Schizosaccharomyces pombe: one gene and its partners. Each later gene encodes a partner of the first gene's protein in a complex. Each region holds a gene or a part of one and is shown in the gene's direction. Other genes may lie near its edges. The genes, in order: atg101, atg1 and atg17.

Region 1 (4,967 bases):
TGTCTACACTTGTAGTATGGCTTTTTAAAAAAAAAAAAAAAAAAAGATAATAATTATCATCCTTACTTCCTCGAAAGTATAGATAAATCTTTGCGTTCACATTCAGTGTATAATCTAATGTTTACCTCTGTGATTCTTATTTAACTTGTAAACCTTGGTACGGGCATATTATCTCGCTCGTTTCCTGAATGTCTGAGTTTAAATGATAGATATCCGATTTCTGCTTTATTTTTATTTTTATTCTTGCATTCAGTTAAATAAATTAATTTTATTATTTGGTAGTTTTCATAAACTTTTGGCAAACAAATACACACTCCAATAAATATACTCACTCTCTGTAGCGTAAGGAGTACTCACCTTATCTGACTATCTGATGCTATTTTCATATGAAAATTGAGGTCAGACGGTAAATAGCATTTTCCATTCTTCTTATCCCTTCTTTTTTTTTTTTTTTTTTTTACTTAACACCAACTTCGTGATGTCGTGATCCATCATCCATTTATCCTTCCGTAACCTCAGTCAATTTATCATCGTCATCGTATAGCTACACCCGCTGGTCATTTTACTAGCGAAAAAACAACATTTTGTTACGTAAATTACATATACACTTTCTCCACTAAATGAATCATCAAGTTCATCACGATGGTGTATCGTCCCACTGCTCATGAGTTTGACGACTTACCGAAAATCGAGTTCATAGATTCATGCCCATACCAGGTATTCCTTGAGCAGTATCTAAAACCTTGCGTTCCCGTACTTATTGGACCGAAGCTTACTGCTCAATGGAAAGCAAATACTACGTGGATAACTAGTAAGGGTGATCCTAATATCCTGCATAGTTACATTCTACCTGACAAACCTTGTACTTCTAGAGACAACACTAGTGGGAATTCACTACTAAACGACAATGATATAAAGAATTTCATTAGGTCATATGCAGAAAGGATTGTGAATAATGAGGATAAAAATGTGTTTTTGGATTCGTTATTGTTATCGCCAAACTATGAATACTTAGAAGAAAATTACGGAACGATTCCTGTACCATTGGCTTATTGCAATGAAAAAGATCGTTATGGATCTCAACGTCGTGAAACAGTTCCCTTGAAGAGTGCACTTCATGAACTTCGCGATGAACAGGTCCAACTACAATGCCGGCAGGCTCCAAGTAATCAGGCTTTGAAATCCTTATATGCCAAGGATATGCACTTGTTTCGACATCTAGACCCTGCCGATTTTCCTTACAGTACTCCGGACATTTTCGCCGACGACTGGTTAAATGCATACGTGATTGATTGTGAATCCGATGATTTCCGTTTCGCATATTTAGGTAGTCATTTAACGACTACTGGCCTACACACCGATGTCTATGCTAGCCACTCCTTCTCTGTTAATCTCTGCGGTGTGAAATGCTGGCTTTTTATCGATCCCAAAGACCTTCAAACGATTGCCTCCCTTTATGATGACCAGCAATTACCTTCATGGATCACAAAAGATGATTTATTTAGAGGTCCACTTGTAAATCATCGACATTTGATAAAAATTCTCTTCCAATATCCTGGACAAACAGTGTTTGTTCCAAGTGGTTGGTATCATCAGGTTTTAAATATTGGAACTACACTCTCTATCAACCATAATTGGTGTAATGCATCTTGCATTTTACAAATGTACACCGCATTAAAAGAGCAGTATGAAGTTTCCGCAGAGTCTCTCAAGGATTTGCTGGAGGATGGAATCGTAACAAAGGACAGATTTTCTCAGGTTGTTACAGAAGTGGTGGAAGCAAACTACGGTTGGTGTTGGCGTCGATTTTGGGGTATGATCAAACATCAGCTCAAACGAAGGGATGCAATATTACATAGTTCTGAATACTTCTCAAAATGGCCCATACAACCTGAGTTTCTTCCTCCATTATCATGGGAGTATTCAATTTTAAAAAATATTTTACTAAATGATGAGCCCGGCAGCACCTTCGATTCTGGTTCTCCTCCTTCATCGATTGTCACGATCTTTAAATCTCTCGGTGATTTTAAAGAATAGTACTACTCATCTAAACTCCTTTTAAAATGATGTTTTTTTCATTCTGCGTCTGCTTTCTTCAATTTTGCTTACGTCTTTGTATCATTCTCATGCAATGGTTTCCCCAGACAAATACCATCCATATAATTAGTTTACCAGTAATATAGATAGATTTAGATATGTAAAATAAAAATTAAAAAAATTACTTTAGTAAACAATATCCGAGAGATGTTGCTTAAGTTATAAATTTATAATTGATGTATGCTGTAAAAACTCTTAAGACACTGGTGTTTACTTTAATATACTAAAAAAAATTATTTAAAAAAATCACTATTGATAGTTCAGGTTAAAATGTTGATTTTCTTTAGAGCCAGGTCTTCGGAAGTCCCTTCTTGCATTTTGAACTCACATGTGTTAGTAGGAAAATAAACATTTACAATTATCTATCGTCATATATAATTCTTACAATTAATCGTTTTCTAGTTTCAAATACTAAAAATATTTAAATTCACAGACTAATTGGATAATTAGATGTTTAAAAAAATGTGGACGCTTTGCAATGTACAATGCAGAAAGTGTTTATTTACATTGAGATTCAGAACGAGTAACACGTTACCTAAAAAAATTGGAGGACCCTATATATGCACGAACGTAATGTATTTCACTTGATTGACCAAGTTCAAAGTTCAATGCAAGTATCTTAGTTTGCATTCCTCAATTTTACTCTTCCAAAATTTTAGAGATTAAATGACAAACACGGTGACAATTGAACTGAAAATTGGTTATAAGTATGCTGCTGAGGTTGTAAAAGGTAAGTCAAATTAGTTGCTGGAAATATTACATATCAAAGTCTAATCCTTTAGCCGTTTTAGGTGTAATTCTATTTCATAGACAGTTTTCTACTGTTCCTGCTAGGACAATTGACGTTTTAGACATTACGGTTCCTACTCTGGTTGGTGCAGAACTAAATGAACAACTAGCAACTAAAGCGGCGGAATTTATTGATACCATTCGAAATGAGGCTGGTGCAAATGGTCAGATGATTTTACTGTTGTATGAAAGATCGCCTAAAAAGTCTTGGTTTGGGAAGGGAAATACAATTCCTTGGGAACAATGGATCTTGCACACTACCATTTTAGAAGAGGGTGACTCTTATCAAGAATCTTCTTTATCTCTAGAGGCAGCAGTTGAGCAAATTGTGCAAGCAGTTAACCTTCGAAGCCTTTCATACCTGCCCCCAGTTGCTATGGATTCCGGGAATTACCCGTATGAAATTGTAACTCCTACTTCAACAGAAGGTTGGGGCTCACTGCTGAAGCGAATGATTATAGAAAACGTTAGTGGAGGTGATTAAATCAAATCTCACCAGGTTTGTACTTCAAACTTGATTTCTCATTCAGCATTTAAAATTCTTCATTCACCATACATCTATACGGTTTGGCGACGCAAAGCTCCATATGTTAACATGTTGCTGGAGAATTATGTATCGATGGTATATTTACATGCTACTTGTAATCCTTTCGCAATTGATTATTTTGGACTAATGAAACTTGCATGCGTTAATATAGTACATTCGCGCATGGGTTATAAGAAAGTTGGATTTAGGACGGATGCTGTGCCATTTATATCATGACTTTAATTGACAGCCATAATTTTTGAAATTAGCGTTTGTACTTTCCAAAGTTGTTTTAACAAAATGACCGGCGCATTCTTAATCGACTTTTAGCTTACCGAGATTTAACGTGTGAATATTTTTTAAATTTACTCATTTCTTTTTACATTTCGAAATTTACTATGTCAAAATGCTTGCAGCAGCTTAAACGACAACTTCAGCATTTCGGCATAGATGGATGCTCATTAGCAGATGGTGACATCGATTATTTTTTCACAGTTACCGGTATTGATCGTGGATGGGGCTGTGGTTGGCGCAATATACAGATGTTAATTTCCTGGCTTCAATACACCAATCCAAATTGGTTTAAACGTAATTTTAGTAGTGGAAATTATGAAATCAATTCTTTGCAATCGTTGTTGCTCAGCGCTTGGATGAAAGGTATAGATGCCGAAGGTTATGCTCAATTAGGAGACAACTTGCATGGTAAATGGATTGGTGCTACTGAGGTTTATAGCCTATTTACCGGGTTGTTTGTCAACGTCGCTTTAGTAGACTTTGATTTCAGATCTGAAGCTTCTGCTAGCAATGCACTTTTTCTTTACGTTAAAAAACATTTTGAAAGTTCTAATGATACAAGCAATGTTTCTCCATGTTATTTACAATTTCAAGGGCATTCTATCATTATCATTGGGTTCTGTTCTTCTTTAGAAACTCTTGTTGTGCTTGATCCAGATCGTTATCAGAGTGTTCAAAAAAAGTTTGTGAATATTGCGGACTTTAATCACTGTTATATGCGAAAAAAGCGATCTTTGAAATTCTCACAATTTCAATTGGTACATTTTAAGCAAAACATTTTTTTAAATGATTTCAGTTCAAAACTGGAAGTTCGTTCTACCAGAATTTCGGACTTTTAGCTGTCCAAGCGCTGGTGATGTTTTTCATAATATTTATGAAGGCCGTTTCCCCATATATTAATTTATAGAAAAAGGAAAAACTGTTGAAAAATAATAATATATCTGATTATTCTCTTTTGACTTACTACTATGTAGTATACGTATATTTAAAATTGTTGATAGTTTCTCATATTTTCATATAGCGACATTGTTATTGAATTTAAAATTTGTTGTTTTGCGGTGAATTCGGTGTTTACATCGGTATATCCGACTTTGGCTTCCGAATGTGGATAAAGGCTAAAGTTGTTACCAAAAGTAAACAACTACCAGCCTTGCACAATGTTTGTTGTCAAGACTGCTGTATTATTATTCTTTGCATTATTTATTGGAAATACTTATGCATATACTTATTCTCTGGACAGAATTCAAGCATTAAAATTTAG
Region 2 (7,239 bases), on another chromosome or scaffold:
AATAATCCACTTGGCAAATACTTTACCACTGAAGATGAAGTGCTGAACTTTCGTAGAAAGACATATCATGCTTTGGTTGTCTTTTTATTTCTTCCGGTTTGTTGCTTAGATCCTCATTTTCTCCACCTGTCTTTTTCGGGAGTTTTATTCATATTTCTGTTTGTTGAAGGTATACGCATACTTCGTCTTAAGCCATTTGGAAAAATGATCCATGAATTTTTATGGGAGTATACCGATAACAGGGATCACAAGGGCCCCTTGATTATTTCCCATATATATCTTTTAATTGGTTGTGCAATTCCTATTTGGCTTTCGAATGCTTTAAAAGGTCCTGTTGCGTCGGTTGAATTACTGGTTGGTGTTTTATGTTTAGGGTGTGGAGATTCTATGGCTAGCATAATTGGGAAAAGGTTCGGAAAACATAGGATCTCAAAAACGAATAAAAGTATTGAGGGGGTATTTGCCTTTTCAATCTCAGTGTTTCTCGTTTTACACTTGACGCAAGCTTTTCATGTGTGTCCTTCAGTAACGTTTTGGAAAACGCTGTTTATGTCCTTATGTACGGCCATTTTGGAAGGTGTCTCAACGGAGAATGACAATCTCATACTTCCAATGTACATGTGGGTATTGTATCAAGCCTTGGATTAAGAATGTTTAATTCCATAAAATATTTTGCAACATCAAAGTAAAATATCTCATAACTCTGATGCTTTGCAAATGACAAACAAAAGAAAAATACATATATGTGCTTATATATGAAAAAATAAACCAAAGATGTAATTCTTTGCATATTCTCTTTGTTACTAATTCGACGTAAATAGATTTCCTTTAATAAAATAAAAAGAAAAATTTTACGTATTGCCAGGCCTATCATTAAATCATAATCACCTTAACAACAGCATCCACTGAGAATACTGTTTACAAAAAACCAACGTGAGCAAAAAAAAGATGGCAGATGTGACTATGAAACGAATAAAACTAAAACGGACTATAAATTTCGGTAAAAATGATATTACAAAATATATGTATATATAGTTTTGCTATTCAATCAGTCATATATTTAAAGGTAATTGACTATTACAGTTCGCATATTTAGGAAGATCAAAATATTCATTTATTGAGAAATGTATAACAACGAGTATCTGAGCGGATATCGTGGCACAATTTTAAGTAGAATAGGTTGCTTCGAAACGAACAGTATATTATTTTTGCTTGCTTAAAATTAATTAAACAGTGTACGACTCGGAGCATAAGCATTTTAATTCCATTTATTAATTTTCCAAATTTCCTAGAAAATAATAGATTAAAAAAAAATTCATTAATTTATTTATTGCTACAAAATCAAAATTTTGATTAACTTATTATTTTTACTTTATTTTTTTTTATTTTTTGTTTCAAACTTCATTGCAGTATTATTGGCAACAAGCACTTATATTCAGTTTCAAAACTTTTTTTATTTTATATTCTCGAATTAATTTATTTATTTTATTATCACGCAAATACAAAATTAAACTATTCATGGTGAGAAGGTGAATTTTTTATAACGTTGCTTGTTTTCAGTAGCGTTTTCGCTAATGTTGACTTTAAAGTCTGTTTTAGAAATTTGGATTCCACAACCAATCTCGTATATATCAATAAAGAGAAAAGCAACATATTATGATTGGAAATTTTCTTTTAATTTTCTGCAAGAGAGTTCTTACCTTCCATTATGGTCTTCAAGTCCTCAGGGCATGTTTGAATACTAGTCATTGCCCAATTCCCTGTTTTGTAGTATTATATACATGCGTTTGAGCCAAAACTCACACTGCATAAAAAAAATGATATTCTTTTCTTCAACCATAAATATTATTATTTAACACAACAAATGTCTACGGCCATACCTAGGCGAAAACACCAGTTCCCGTCCGATCACTGCAGTTAAGCGTCTGAGGGCCTCGTTAGTACTATGGTTGGAGACAACATGGGAATCCGGGGTGCTGTAGGCTCCTTCTTTTCTTTTTTTTTTGTCTTTTAAATCCAGTTTACTTTTTTTTTTTATATTATTTCTATATGGCATGAAACTGGTACAGTGGTACAAGTTGTACATCTGCCGCCGGTTTTTTATCCAAATTTACCCTCTATTTACACTTGCATTTTCATCTGCCTCGATCACTCTATCCATGACAATCGCCTTTTCCAACTAATTTGCCTTTTCGCGGGTATCTACGCTTCGTCTGGAGTATTATCTACTTCCGTTCTTATCCTCTAATTCCACACACACTTGCTTTCCGTACTCAAATCGGTAACTGACATGGCAAAAATTAACACATTTATTTCGTCTTAACCCACTTTCGGCATTTTTCAGCTGCACAAAAAGGGAACAATTTCAAAGAATTTAGACACTACCAGCAGGTATATGTGTGTAAAATATTATAATTCATTGAGTTAATACAATTTCCTCTATAAACTCGCATTCTATTCATAGTGCTTACTCCCATAAAACTTGTTATCCCGAAACCATATCTCCTGTTACCTTTTACAGCCGCACCACGATCGCAATTTATTTTAAGGTATTAAAGCCCAGTGCGGAAAGTGCCTTTTACGCAGCTATATTATCAATGGCGACCCGCTATCCTTGCCAACTCCCATGCTATCAAAGTGAGTATAAAGGCAGCTAAAACCCTTACACCTGTCTTATCGTGAACCAGAAGCTGTATGAACTTACAGACGAGTACAAATCAAACAATTGGTCCCTATGTCATTCGATCGGAAATTGGACGTGGATCTTTCGCAATTGTGTATAAAGGAAAGCACACGGTAAGTAAAAGAAGCAACTGCTTGTCTGTTTCAATGGAATTTGGTGGCTAATCGTGTTGCAGGAAACGAATCGAGTGATCTCTATTAAAAGCGTATTGACAAAGAAGCTTACTAAGAAACTTTTGGAGAATTTAGAAAGTGAAATTTCAATCCTTAAAGAGATCCGTCATGTGCATGTTGTGGAACTGATAGACTGTATTAAGGCTGGGCGGTTCATTCACCTGGTCATGGAGTATTGCTCCCTAGGAGATTTGAGTTATTTTATTCGAAAGCGAGAAAAGTTTAACAGTATTCCCTCCTTAGCCTGGATCAACATCGATCATCCGCCAGTTTACAAGGCTGGATTGAATGAGACGTTGGTTCGGCATTTTACCCAACAACTTGCTTCTGCACTCCAATTTTTACGATCGCGTTCTTTAATTCATCGAGATGTCAAACCCCAAAATCTTCTTTTACAACCACCACCCACCGCTGCCTATCTGGAAGAGCATCCCCAGTTTGTGGGAAGTCCCAAGCTACCAATGCTTAAATTAGCAGACTTTGGTTTTGCACGTTACCTTCAAACGTCTAGTATGGCGGAAACTCTATGTGGCTCTCCGTTGTATATGGCGCCCGAAATACTTCGTTACGAGAAATATGATGCTAAAGCCGATTTGTGGTCAGTAGGTGCTGTGTTATACGAAATGGCTGTTGGAAAGCCTCCCTTCAAGGCCCCAAATCATGTCGAACTTCTTAGGAGGATTCAAAAAGCTAAAGATGTCATCAAGTTTCCTGAAGAAGCTTTCATTCACCCGGACATTAAAACCCTTATCTGTGCTTTGCTGAAGCAAAATCCGGCTGATCGTATCGACTACGACGGTTTCTTTTCCAGTATTGTTGTCACTACTCCATTAGATGACGCATCTACTTTGACCGGTAGCGATATTCAAGATGCGGTTAAGGAAATAAACATTCCATCTTCTAGTCCTGCCTACATAACCGATTTTTTCCCAAAAAGTAATCCTGGCGCTCCTGCTCCTCCAGGCGGTTTGTTGCGTCAAGCTTTCCAAGCTCAGGGGTCTAGTATTCAGCCCTCTGAAATTACCGGTCGAAGGGTGCCTCATCGCTATGCACAAGATGGAAACACTTTACCATACACCCCCGTGTTTCCTCCTGAAAGTGCTCCTGCTGCTAGCATTTTCCCTCCTCGATTAACCTCTAAGCAACCTATACCCATGGCATCTCCTGCTAAGTTGACAAGTGATACTTCGAACAAAAGTAGCGCCTATGTCGTAGTGGACCATCATCCCATAATCTCTTCTACCCAACTTTCCAATGAAAGCCTAACCCACGAGCAATCAATCAATGGTAACTCGCCTTCACCAAACGAAGGTGTTTTTCAAGGTAGTTTCTCTCCTGAAAGCGCTCCTGTAAATAATCATGCGTTTCCCCATACTAGCCGGATGCAAATCCCTTACATGAAACCCAATGCTTTCCCTTCTAATCCTACCTACATTGCTTCAACCCCAGTCACTCAACTACGTCGTGCGTTTGAGCAAGCTACAGCACATGTACCTCAATCTGGAGGTGGTGCGCGAAATAAAAGCGCTCTAGAACGAGCACTAAATGTTGCAAACGCTAGGCTTAATGAAGTTGTAGTGGATGGTATGACAGATAATGGAAACACATCCCTTCCTACAAAAGAAAGCAATTTGGATAACAATGTCAACATTATCCAACCTTCCTTACCTGACACCGGTAAAAGATTGCTTGATGTTTTAGAAAGTATAGCGATGAAATCAAACTCTGTCTACCATCTGGCTGAAGTGAAGCTTGCTCAAATTATTCCTTCTTTGTCTGATGAAATGAAGCCTGGAGATACACTCTTGGATAGACCTTTGACTCCTTTTTCATTGGTTATGTTAGCCAAGGAATCGTATGTACTTTATGAGAGAGACATTGAGCTGTTACAAGTGGCGTTTGACGGTGTTGCTGCTTTTTGGGCCAACTCTGAAGAACGTGCATCTCCTGATTGCCAACAAGCCATTGAATGGTTTCGTCAAAGGTATTCAGAAAGTCTTGAGAAATCCCAATTTTTACGTGAAATTATTATTTCTCAAAGTGCCGCACATTCTTTGCCAACTACCAAACCTGTGTCAGCTTCTCAATTAATTTATCATAGAGCATTGGACCTATCCAGAAATGCAGCCACTAGTGAACTGTCAGGAAATGATGCACAGGCTTGTTTACAAAATTACCGGCTTGCAGCACATTTGTTGGAGTCACTTCTTGAGAGTAATTTTTCGACTCCAGACGGTGCTAACGATTCCAATAATTCAGTAACCATAAGAAATTTGATTGCTTTGATAACGAAAAGGCAAGAACTTTTACAATCGAAACAAATCCAGGCTAATGTAGCCAACAAAGTAACAGAAAGTGTTGCGAAAATAACACTTGCCCCCAATCTTGCTTGAACACCGACGATTTCGCCCTTTTATTGAACAAATTCGCATATTGTATGAGCTGAGCTCTGAGTCTAAATTTTGTTATGAATTCGTTGTTATGACCATATTATTTATATAACTTTTTAATATAGACGTTTTTAATTTTGCTTTTTTTATACATAGGGTTGATAGTCCCGTATATTTAACTCTTATTTATTGAGGTTTATCTCTATTCAAATTTCGTGCATATTATTTTTTTTCTCTTAAATTTTTCAAACAAGTAAAACAGCTATTTAACGTATCAAGGCAAGAATCTAGTACTTTTTTGATTTCCAAAACAAAGATTTGTTTTATACGGCCTAGAGCTGATGACTGCATGAGAGAAACAATTAAACGAGTGATAATGTTTTTGTTCAAACGACCCATAATTTACAAATGTGTGAAAGGAAATTATTGTAACAATACCTCAAGAAATGGCCTTGAAGTCCAAAAGTCATCGTCTATCAGACTTACGTGAAGGATAGATAAAACCATTTTCTTCTTTTGTTTTACGGAGAACTTTTTGTCTTGTTGATGCCATTCTTGATCAATAGGCTAAATTAAATAAGTAAGCAAAAATTAATTTAAACAAAGTTTGTCGAGCATACCTCACGAATCCAAATCGAGCCCTTTTTGTATATCTCTGGTTCAAAATTATAGTTGATGCCGAATTTTGAGAACAAAATTTCATGTTTTTCTGCGCTGACGGTACCCTGTAAAGTAATTCACCCAAAAGGTGAAAGTGGTTAGTTTTTATTGAAAGGAAGATAAATCGCTAGGGTTTACATAAAAAAAAATGAGCTACTTACCTTTAGGTACTCCTCGGCTTGAGTGTTTGTGAAACCTCCTTTGAGTATTAACATCCAGAAGGTAGTATTGTAAAGGTTATTAATATGACAGTCTACTTGTCGCCAATGCAAATAATCTCTTAATACTTTCATATTAGGATAAAGTACAGCTCGTCCATCAAATGAAGGGAGTGAAAGTAGTGGAATGTCAAAATGTTTAGGCCAATTGAAGACAAAAGCAGATGTAAATAAAGAGCAGACATGGCTAACAAGCTTACTCTCGCGCCGTTCATACAATTCGGTACTCTTAGACCAAACAAAACTTCAAGCAGAAAGGTTAGTTTATTCGATTCATGAGCTTATTATTCTGTTTTCATGCATACCTATACTCATCACTATCACCATAAGCTAAAACGATGTCGGTGAACTCAGACATGACTACGCGAGCTGCTGCATTCATTAAATTTAGACATCTCAAATCATTTGGCTTCTCAAAATCATGTTTCTTTGTGAACTTATGGAATCCTTTGCCATCAATTCGTATTACGATATAAGTCTCAGGTAGTAAACGATCCAATCTTTCGTATTGCTTCACATATTCAAACCTTGACTTGGCCATCCTTTCATAACAAATTATATGTATAATATAATGTAGCCCCGACCTTTTTCCATGTAATTTCCTCAAAAAGCCCACCGAAAATGCTTCGTTTGAAAATGTGAATTTCCTAACCAACCTTGAATCATAATTAGCGATAGATTATCGTTCGTTATAATTTTTAGCATATTGGATGGCAAAAAATGCCATGTCTCGTAATTTATTTTTTTTATTAAGATAATGTTATATAACTTGAAATATGCTAACAGTGGATGAAAAGAAGCGATTATATATTTAATAAAAAAAAAAATTACAGGCTAGCTTATTAAGAAAGGTGATATATCTTTACCAGCGCATTGCTAGTCTTGTTTACAACCACAATCGGCTTGCTACTGACTAAGGATGATCTTTTCCGCATTTCAATAGAAATCTTAGAGAACACGTATAGTATTCATTTATTCAGATTTGATCTGCTGCTTAATCATAACAGTTAAACTTATATTCATATTTACTATATAGTGAATAGTAAAGTATTAGTTAACTTGGATTGCTAGTGAGGTTAAGGCATATCTCCTTAGGGAACATTATATCCATTCAA
Region 3 (6,854 bases), 1.3 Mb from region 1:
TGAAGTTCTTTTCAGACCCAATCCTCATTTATTGTCCGAGGACCGTGTTGCATCTATGCAGTCAGTCTCTGGTACTGGTGCCAATTTTCTTGCTGCTAGTTTCATTGAGACTTTCTATGTAAAGCACACTGGAGCCCATGTATACATCTCCAACCCTACTTGGCCTGTCCATCGCACTTTGTGGGAAAAATTGGGAGTCACTGTAGATACATATCCTTATTGGGATGCCAAGAATAGATCTTTTGATTACGAAGGCATGCTAAGTACCATTAAATCTGCTCCCGAAGGAAGTATATTTTTACTTCATGCTTGTGCTCACAATCCTACTGGTATTGACCCCACTAGGGAACAATGGCTTTCTATATTCGAGAGTCTGCTTTCTCGCAAGCATCTGGTAGTTTTTGACATTGCTTATCAAGGTTTTGCCAGTGGTGATCTGAATCGTGACTCTTGGGCTCTAAACGAGTTTGTCAAATATAACAAGGACTTTTTCGTTTGTCAGTCATTTGCTAAAAATATGGGTCTTTATGGTGAACGTACTGGTTGCATGCATTACGTTGCAAAGGACGCTTCCACTAAAAACAAGGTCTTATCTCAATTGTGTATTGTTCAACGTAACACCATTTCTAACCCTCCCGCTTACGGTGCACGTATTGCTGCCGAAATTCTTAACAGTCCTCAATTGTTTGCTGAATGGGAACAAGATTTAAAGACTATGTCTTCTAGAATCATTGAGATGAGGAAACGTCTTCGCGATTCTCTTGTTGCACTCAAAACCCCCGGTTCTTGGGATCATATTACACAACAAATTGGAATGTTTTCTTTTACCGGTTTAACGCCTGCACAAGTCCAATTTTGCCAGGAGCGGTACCATCTTTATTTCAGTGCAAATGGTCGTATTTCTATGGCTGGTTTGAACAATTCTAATGTAGAGCATGTTGCACAGGCATTTAACCATGCTGTTCGCGAGTTGCCTTAAACTGATTATTAATACCAAAGTCACATAGATAAGTATTGGATTCATGAATACAGAATTTTGGATTGTTGTAAATTTGACGAATTTAGGAACAAATTCTTTAGCAATTTAGAGAACTAGTATATGCATTTATTCTTTGAATTTTTGAATAATATGAAGTTATCTGTTCAACTCATACACCGGGACTTCTCCTTTGTGAGTTAGACATCAGTATTTGGCTCATTATTTGCAAAACAAGTTGATATCAGTTTGTAATCGGATATGTTTAGACAAAACTGAGAAAGAGTTCTTTTTTAATAATTCATAACTTGCAAATTGATTAATGACAGAGTATTTGAATTCTTTGTTATATCGAGGTTTACTACATTAATATAATACAACTTTTAGCAACTATTAGAGCCAATACAAAGAAAAGAAGTCAAAACTTAAGTAATACAATATGAGTATGATTTTCTTTGTTTTACTTCCCTATTGTGTCAACTATAATTTTAAGCAGGAAATTTTGAAAATATCCTAATAACTCGAAAACCAGGCTAAAGCAAGGAATATCCCTCTTTGCATAAATTTTATTTCTTCTCGTGTCTTTCCTCCAATAATTAATAATTATAACATCTCTAAATGTGTATGAGTTAGTTTGTTAGGACATTTTGACTCAATAATTCTTCTCGATAAATTTAATAAAGAAAGTTGAATTCACATACCTGAATTTAATATACAATCATGGGGAATTTACATACGTCAATAGCTGTAGCATCTATTTGCTTAACCAGCGCCTTTCTTGGTTGTGTTTTTGGTTTGGGATTTTTCGTATGGATTATATACGGATATAGTATTGGAGGTTTTTTTGCATTTCTGAGTCTTTTTCATCTATTAGAGTTTTACATTACTGCTCGTTTTCAAGGTAGTCAGTTATCATGGGATTCTTTCATATTGAATAATGGCAAAGCCTACTGGTTAGCGATGTTAGTCGGCCTTTTAGAATGCTTATTAAGTGGCGGAAAAAGTTTTGCTAAGGTAATAAATTGCTTAAGATTTCCGAGCTTCTTAATCAACTTTATATTTTCGGTATATCAGACATCTGCTCTGGGATTTCTTTGTTTGGGACAATATCTACGATCCTCTGCAATGGTACAAGCCGGTCAATCTTTTTCTCACATTGTAGCTAGTAAAAGAAATAAAGATCATTTGCTTGTCACTGATGGGATTTATGCTTACGTTAGACACCCATCATACGTTGGGTTTTTTATCTGGGCTTTGGGCACTCAAATGTTGTTAGGAAATTTTGTCTCAACATTACTATTTTCTCTAGTTCTTTGGAAATTTTTCTCACAGCGAATTACTACCGAAGAAGCTTACTTAGTTAGTTTTTTTGGTGATTCTTACGAACAATATCGAAAGAAGGTCCCATCTGGAATTCCCTTAATTCCATAGGTTCACTATTATTGTTATTTGAATAGTTGATAAAAGCATACTTAAATAATTTGTATCATCATCAAAGCAGCTTTTAAAGGTCTGACTATACAAATCTCATAACAAATTATTTTTATAGCCTTTTTCTCCTTCAAGGCTAATAGATATCAATTGTCCAAATAACAGCGCTTTGTCTTGCAGAATTTTAAAGATGTTTTCGTAGCTCCGCTAAACATCGAAGTGCCATTAATATGATCAGCTAATCTGAAATTTTCTCTTAAAAAATAATAGTCTGTTTACTTTTGAACCACAATAATTCTGAAAAGATTTACTGCTTAATCATTACTATTCATAGCTATAGTACTCTTAACAAACATTTCTTCTTCTTAGTTTTCGTTTATGGTTTTAACTATATTATAATTATCGCTTCAGTCAACTTTATGTAAATAAAGAAAAATAGCGAAAAACAACTGCAATATTGTGCAATTTATTTGCTGTAGTTCGCAAGCTCTCATTAATATGTGCTACATGCGCTCACTTGCTATATTTCAATTTCGCCGCAAGCATACAACTCTGCTTCACAATCAATTCCTTTGTATTAAAGGTCCTTTTGAAAAGTTTGTTGGCCGATATATATATAAATATATATCTATCCTTATATATCTATATAGTTTCTTTTCCAGTGGAGTGCATACAAGAGGAATACAGTTTTACCGCGTGAGTGCGGTGATGGAATTGTTGCAGCAGTGGACTCAGCAAGCCAAAGCAGCTCTTACTCAAGCCAGGCAACTGTGTGGTGATGCACATAAGTTTAATGAAGATGCAAAAACTGATTTGAGAAATTCCATAAAGCAGCATCAACAGCTAAAAGAGTTGGCGAAGCTCACAGCATCTCAATGTACTCGTTTAGACTCTTCAACAGCTCTTATTAAGCAGTTATTAGATCTAGTTCAAAATTATCCAACATTTAATCAATTAAACGTCCTTCATGATCGATTGGAATCGTCACTTAAACGTCTTCGTGACTGTACATTAGATCCAGCCTTAGGAAGCGAATATACCAATCTTTATGCATTTGTAGATGATACTGCATTAGAAGATTTGAAAACCAGGCTCCGAGGCGTAACTGATGGTGTTTGGAATGCTTTCGAAAAGCTAGCGGGTTTACTGGAAGAAGATTTGTGTGCCAATTATCATAAACGTTTAGAAGCTGTTTCATTAGACTTCTTACCTCCCGCTTATAACGATACTGCCGAAGAACTTGCGGATTTGCTTTTGCAAGTTGCTCAACATTACGATCAATGCTCCGAAGCTCTCAATATTTATGACACCCTTTCTGATGCGGAGAAGAAAGATCTCCAAGAAGTGCTTCAATCAGACTCTAATCATGTTCCTTCGGTATTGACAGAACTTAGGAGTGGATTAGATCAAACAATTCATTATTTCAACGCAGTTCAAAGTTATAAGTCAAAGGTAGATTCGGCAACATCGATTTTGGAAGCCTTGGCTGAGGAGTTAAACAAAAACCAGTTGACTAATCAAAGGCATGAAGCCGCGCATGAGTTAATGAGGGCGCAAACCGGCCTGGAGATTCCGCAATTAGCTCAAGAACTCGTGCAGCTTGAAAGACATTACACACATTTTGCTAAAGCGTATACCGCTCTCCTTCAGGAAATTCACAGACGACAAACCTATGAAAATTGTGTAAGATCCATTGTGGACGAATTTGTGGGACGCCTGGAGAAGGAACAACAGGCGGAGGCGAAATGTCGTATCGATTTTTTCAATCAATATGGTGATTATTTACCCCAGACTCTATGGGGAGCTGTAACAGATCCTCCTTTACATTTTGAAATTATAGAGCACCAATATACAGAATTGCCAAACGTAAAGGTAATTCCTGATAAAAACGATAAGAAATCGAAGCAACGTGAAAAATCTTCTACTACAGCCTCTAAGCGATGACCCTGTTAGCCATATTTTACGATTTTTAAAGTCTATAAACGTATAATGATTTTAGTTATGCTACTAGTTTATGAGTATTGTATAGACTTTTCCAATAAAGATAATTATATAAAATAACCGTAATTTTTTCCCCTGATTACTTTTTTCTTCCAGATTGTTTTAGTTTGCGCTTCTTCTCATACTTCGGAATCTTGGATTTTCTTTTCTCAGCCTTATCTTCTTTGGTTTTTTTTTTCCGTGCCCTCTTCTCCTCCGGTGTCTCCTTTGCACGTCCGTTTCCTTTACCTTGTTTTGCAGATGATTTTGAATCCGAAGTCCGTTCTTCTTCATTTTCCATACTACTTATAGAATTTGCATCATCATCGCTCTCCGAAGTCTCATTTGGGAGGATTTGATCGTTTTGATTTTTTGTAGTGTCATTTAAATCCAATTTTTGAAAGTCTGTATTTAATAAGTGCTTATATACAAGGCTATTAACACCTCCGGCGTTTACGATTTCAGTATCTCGATCAATGTCGTATACCTCATCTAAAGTCCGAGGAACATAAGTTTTTAAGAATTCCTCTTCGTATTCTTCTGTAGTAGGTTCTTCCTCATAAATTGCATTTAACCGGGTTTTCATGGCTTCCTTTTCACAACTTCCTTCTTCAGTAATGAATTTAAATAATTGAGGTAAAGATAAGCAACCAGCATTCAAACGCCTAAAGAATGTAGAAATGTTTAAAATATCCATTCTTAAAAAATCGATGCTCTGCGGGTGGTCATGTTCAACCGATTGTGATACATCAATAAAATAAACTTTACCTTTATGATAAAGTAAATTATATTCTGACAAGTCAGCATGCACGAGATGACAAACATGAAACAAAATACGCATATTCCGTGCTACAAGCTGATATAATTTAGTAGCCTCACCAGGCGTCATATCTATATCCTTTAACTTGGGGTATGCCCATCCTTTCTTGTCCCCCAGAAACGACATAAGCAAAACGTGCTGCTTCAATAAGATTGGCTCTGGGCAAGGAATACCAGCAGCAGCCACACGCTTCAAGTTTCTTATTTCTTTTTCAGCCCATAAGCGTACCATTTTTCGGGGATTGCGCTTGTTATACCCATGACGAAAACGAAATTCTCCAGAAACATAGCGGTCACGATCCTTAAATACTAAGATTGAAGTCTTATAAATTTTTATAGCAAAATGTTTACCATCCTCGTTTGTTGCATGATACACATTTGCTTCCTTTCCCGTGCTTATACAACCATTAATTTCTGATATAGTTCCATTATTTATTAATTTTAATAAAATCATTCGAGTACGGGGATCCAGCACTTGTTCAGATGTAGCGCGGTCACTTTTATCCTTGATAGATGACTTGTCTTTATTTGTCAGTACTATTAAACATGAAAATGTAAAAGTGTGAAGGATCAAAAGACCTCGAGTTCTAAAACCTATGAGCAGTTAAACTATATTACACTTACCCTCTGCCTCAAACCTGTCATTTAATTTTATATTATTCACATAACGACTAAGCGTAGAAACGTGATCATTAACTGAATTGATCTTAGAAGAATTATTCCCAAAATTTTCCTGTCTAGCAGAATAATCTAGTAAAAATGTTATTAATGATCATGAAAAATGGTAACAAAAATTCATGCAAAGTGCTTTTGGCTATTCAGTATATGAACTTACTTGAAGAAGCTTGATTCCAGTCTATATCGTCTTCCCTAAAGTAATCATTGTCAGAGCCATCACTAAAGTCGCTATATTCTGATTCTTCTTCATTTGTCTGTGCATCGTTTTTTAACTCCTCAACCATCTTAAACTTTAAATAAATCAATAAAAGAATAATTTATTTAAAAATTTGACAAAGAACTGGATACAAATCCAAGTTTTTGTATTTTGTAGGTGGTAGTAAAAACTTTTTGTTGTAAATAAAACTGGTATATAAAAATGTAAGAAGTTAGCAAATTATGATTACCATAAGTTACAAGATGATTTTTGCAAACCAATGATTTTTTTTTTAATTTAGTGGATTATATTTTTTCCATTCTTCGATCAATAAAATATATATTACATTTCCAAAAGACATTTAATGTTAGTGTGAGCGGCTTTCCTCATTAAAGCTTGACAATAAAAAGTCAGATAGAAAAGAAACAATACATAAGCTCATATATGCATTTTTTTAAATTCATTACTGAAACGCTGACGCTCAAGAGCAGCTTGCTTATTTAACACTAATGCATACTTGGCATCTAAAAAATCACATACTCAATTAAGCTAGCGCGCTTTCTACCAATTTGATTGTGCATTCCCAGTAGTTTAATAAAGAAATATTATATTTGGAAATTGATGCGGCAGTAAAGAGAAAAGCAAACGATCTTCAGTTAATACAGTTTCATATAGAAAAAACATAACAAAATCAACATCAACAACTCAAAGAATTTCTCATCTTGGTTAGTATGAATGAATTATTATGTTGTAGATTCTTAGAACTCTGTTACC

What was found.
Region 2: atg101 (region 1) and atg1 share a complex: the UniProt entries of both Schizosaccharomyces pombe proteins name them as parts of the atg1 kinase complex.
Region 3: atg101 (region 1) and atg17 share a complex: the UniProt entries of both Schizosaccharomyces pombe proteins name them as parts of the atg1 kinase complex.

The regions. Positions count from the first base shown.
Region 1 is NC_003424.3:2,525,275-2,530,241, forward strand, and holds atg101 (protein Atg101), read left to right. Parts: upstream 1-2,683; 5' UTR 2,684-2,763; coding exon 2,764-2,827; exon of another isoform or gene 2,828-2,879; coding exon 2,880-3,370; downstream 3,371-4,967. Other genes in the region: histone demethylase Jmj1, read left to right, coding at 643-2,037; mug105 (ubiquitin-fold modifier-specific protease), read left to right, coding at 3,811-4,545; protein meu29, read left to right, coding at 4,864-4,967. UniProt on the Schizosaccharomyces pombe protein: Autophagy factor required for autophagosome formation. Component of the atg1 kinase complex in which it stabilizes atg13. Is also responsible for recruiting downstream factors to the autophagosome-formation site. Has a role in meiosis and sporulation.
Region 2 is NC_003421.2:848,060-855,298, reverse strand, and holds atg1 (autophagy serine/threonine protein kinase Atg1), read left to right. Parts: upstream 1-2,616; 5' UTR 2,617-2,694; coding exon 2,695-2,796; intron 2,797-2,858; coding exon 2,859-5,249; 3' UTR 5,250-5,466; downstream 5,467-7,239. Other genes in the region: dolichol kinase Sec59, read left to right, coding at 1-648; thg1 (tRNA guanylyltransferase), read right to left, coding at 5,670-5,813, 5,867-5,971, 6,068-6,368, 6,430-6,665. UniProt on the Schizosaccharomyces pombe protein: Serine/threonine protein kinase involved in the cytoplasm to vacuole transport (Cvt) and found to be essential in autophagy, where it is required for the formation of autophagosomes.
Region 3 is NC_003424.3:1,224,913-1,231,766, reverse strand, and holds atg17 (autophagy-associated protein kinase activator Atg17), read left to right. Parts: upstream 1-2,945; 5' UTR 2,946-3,115; coding exon 3,116-4,351; 3' UTR 4,352-4,487; downstream 4,488-6,854. Other genes in the region: caa1 (aspartate aminotransferase), read left to right, coding at 1-979; protein-S isoprenylcysteine O-methyltransferase Mam4, read left to right, coding at 1,697-2,407; rio1 (RIO family protein kinase), read right to left, coding at 4,488-5,728, 5,831-5,956, 6,042-6,168. UniProt on the Schizosaccharomyces pombe protein: Autophagy-specific protein that functions in response to autophagy-inducing signals as a scaffold to recruit other ATG proteins to organize preautophagosomal structure (PAS) formation.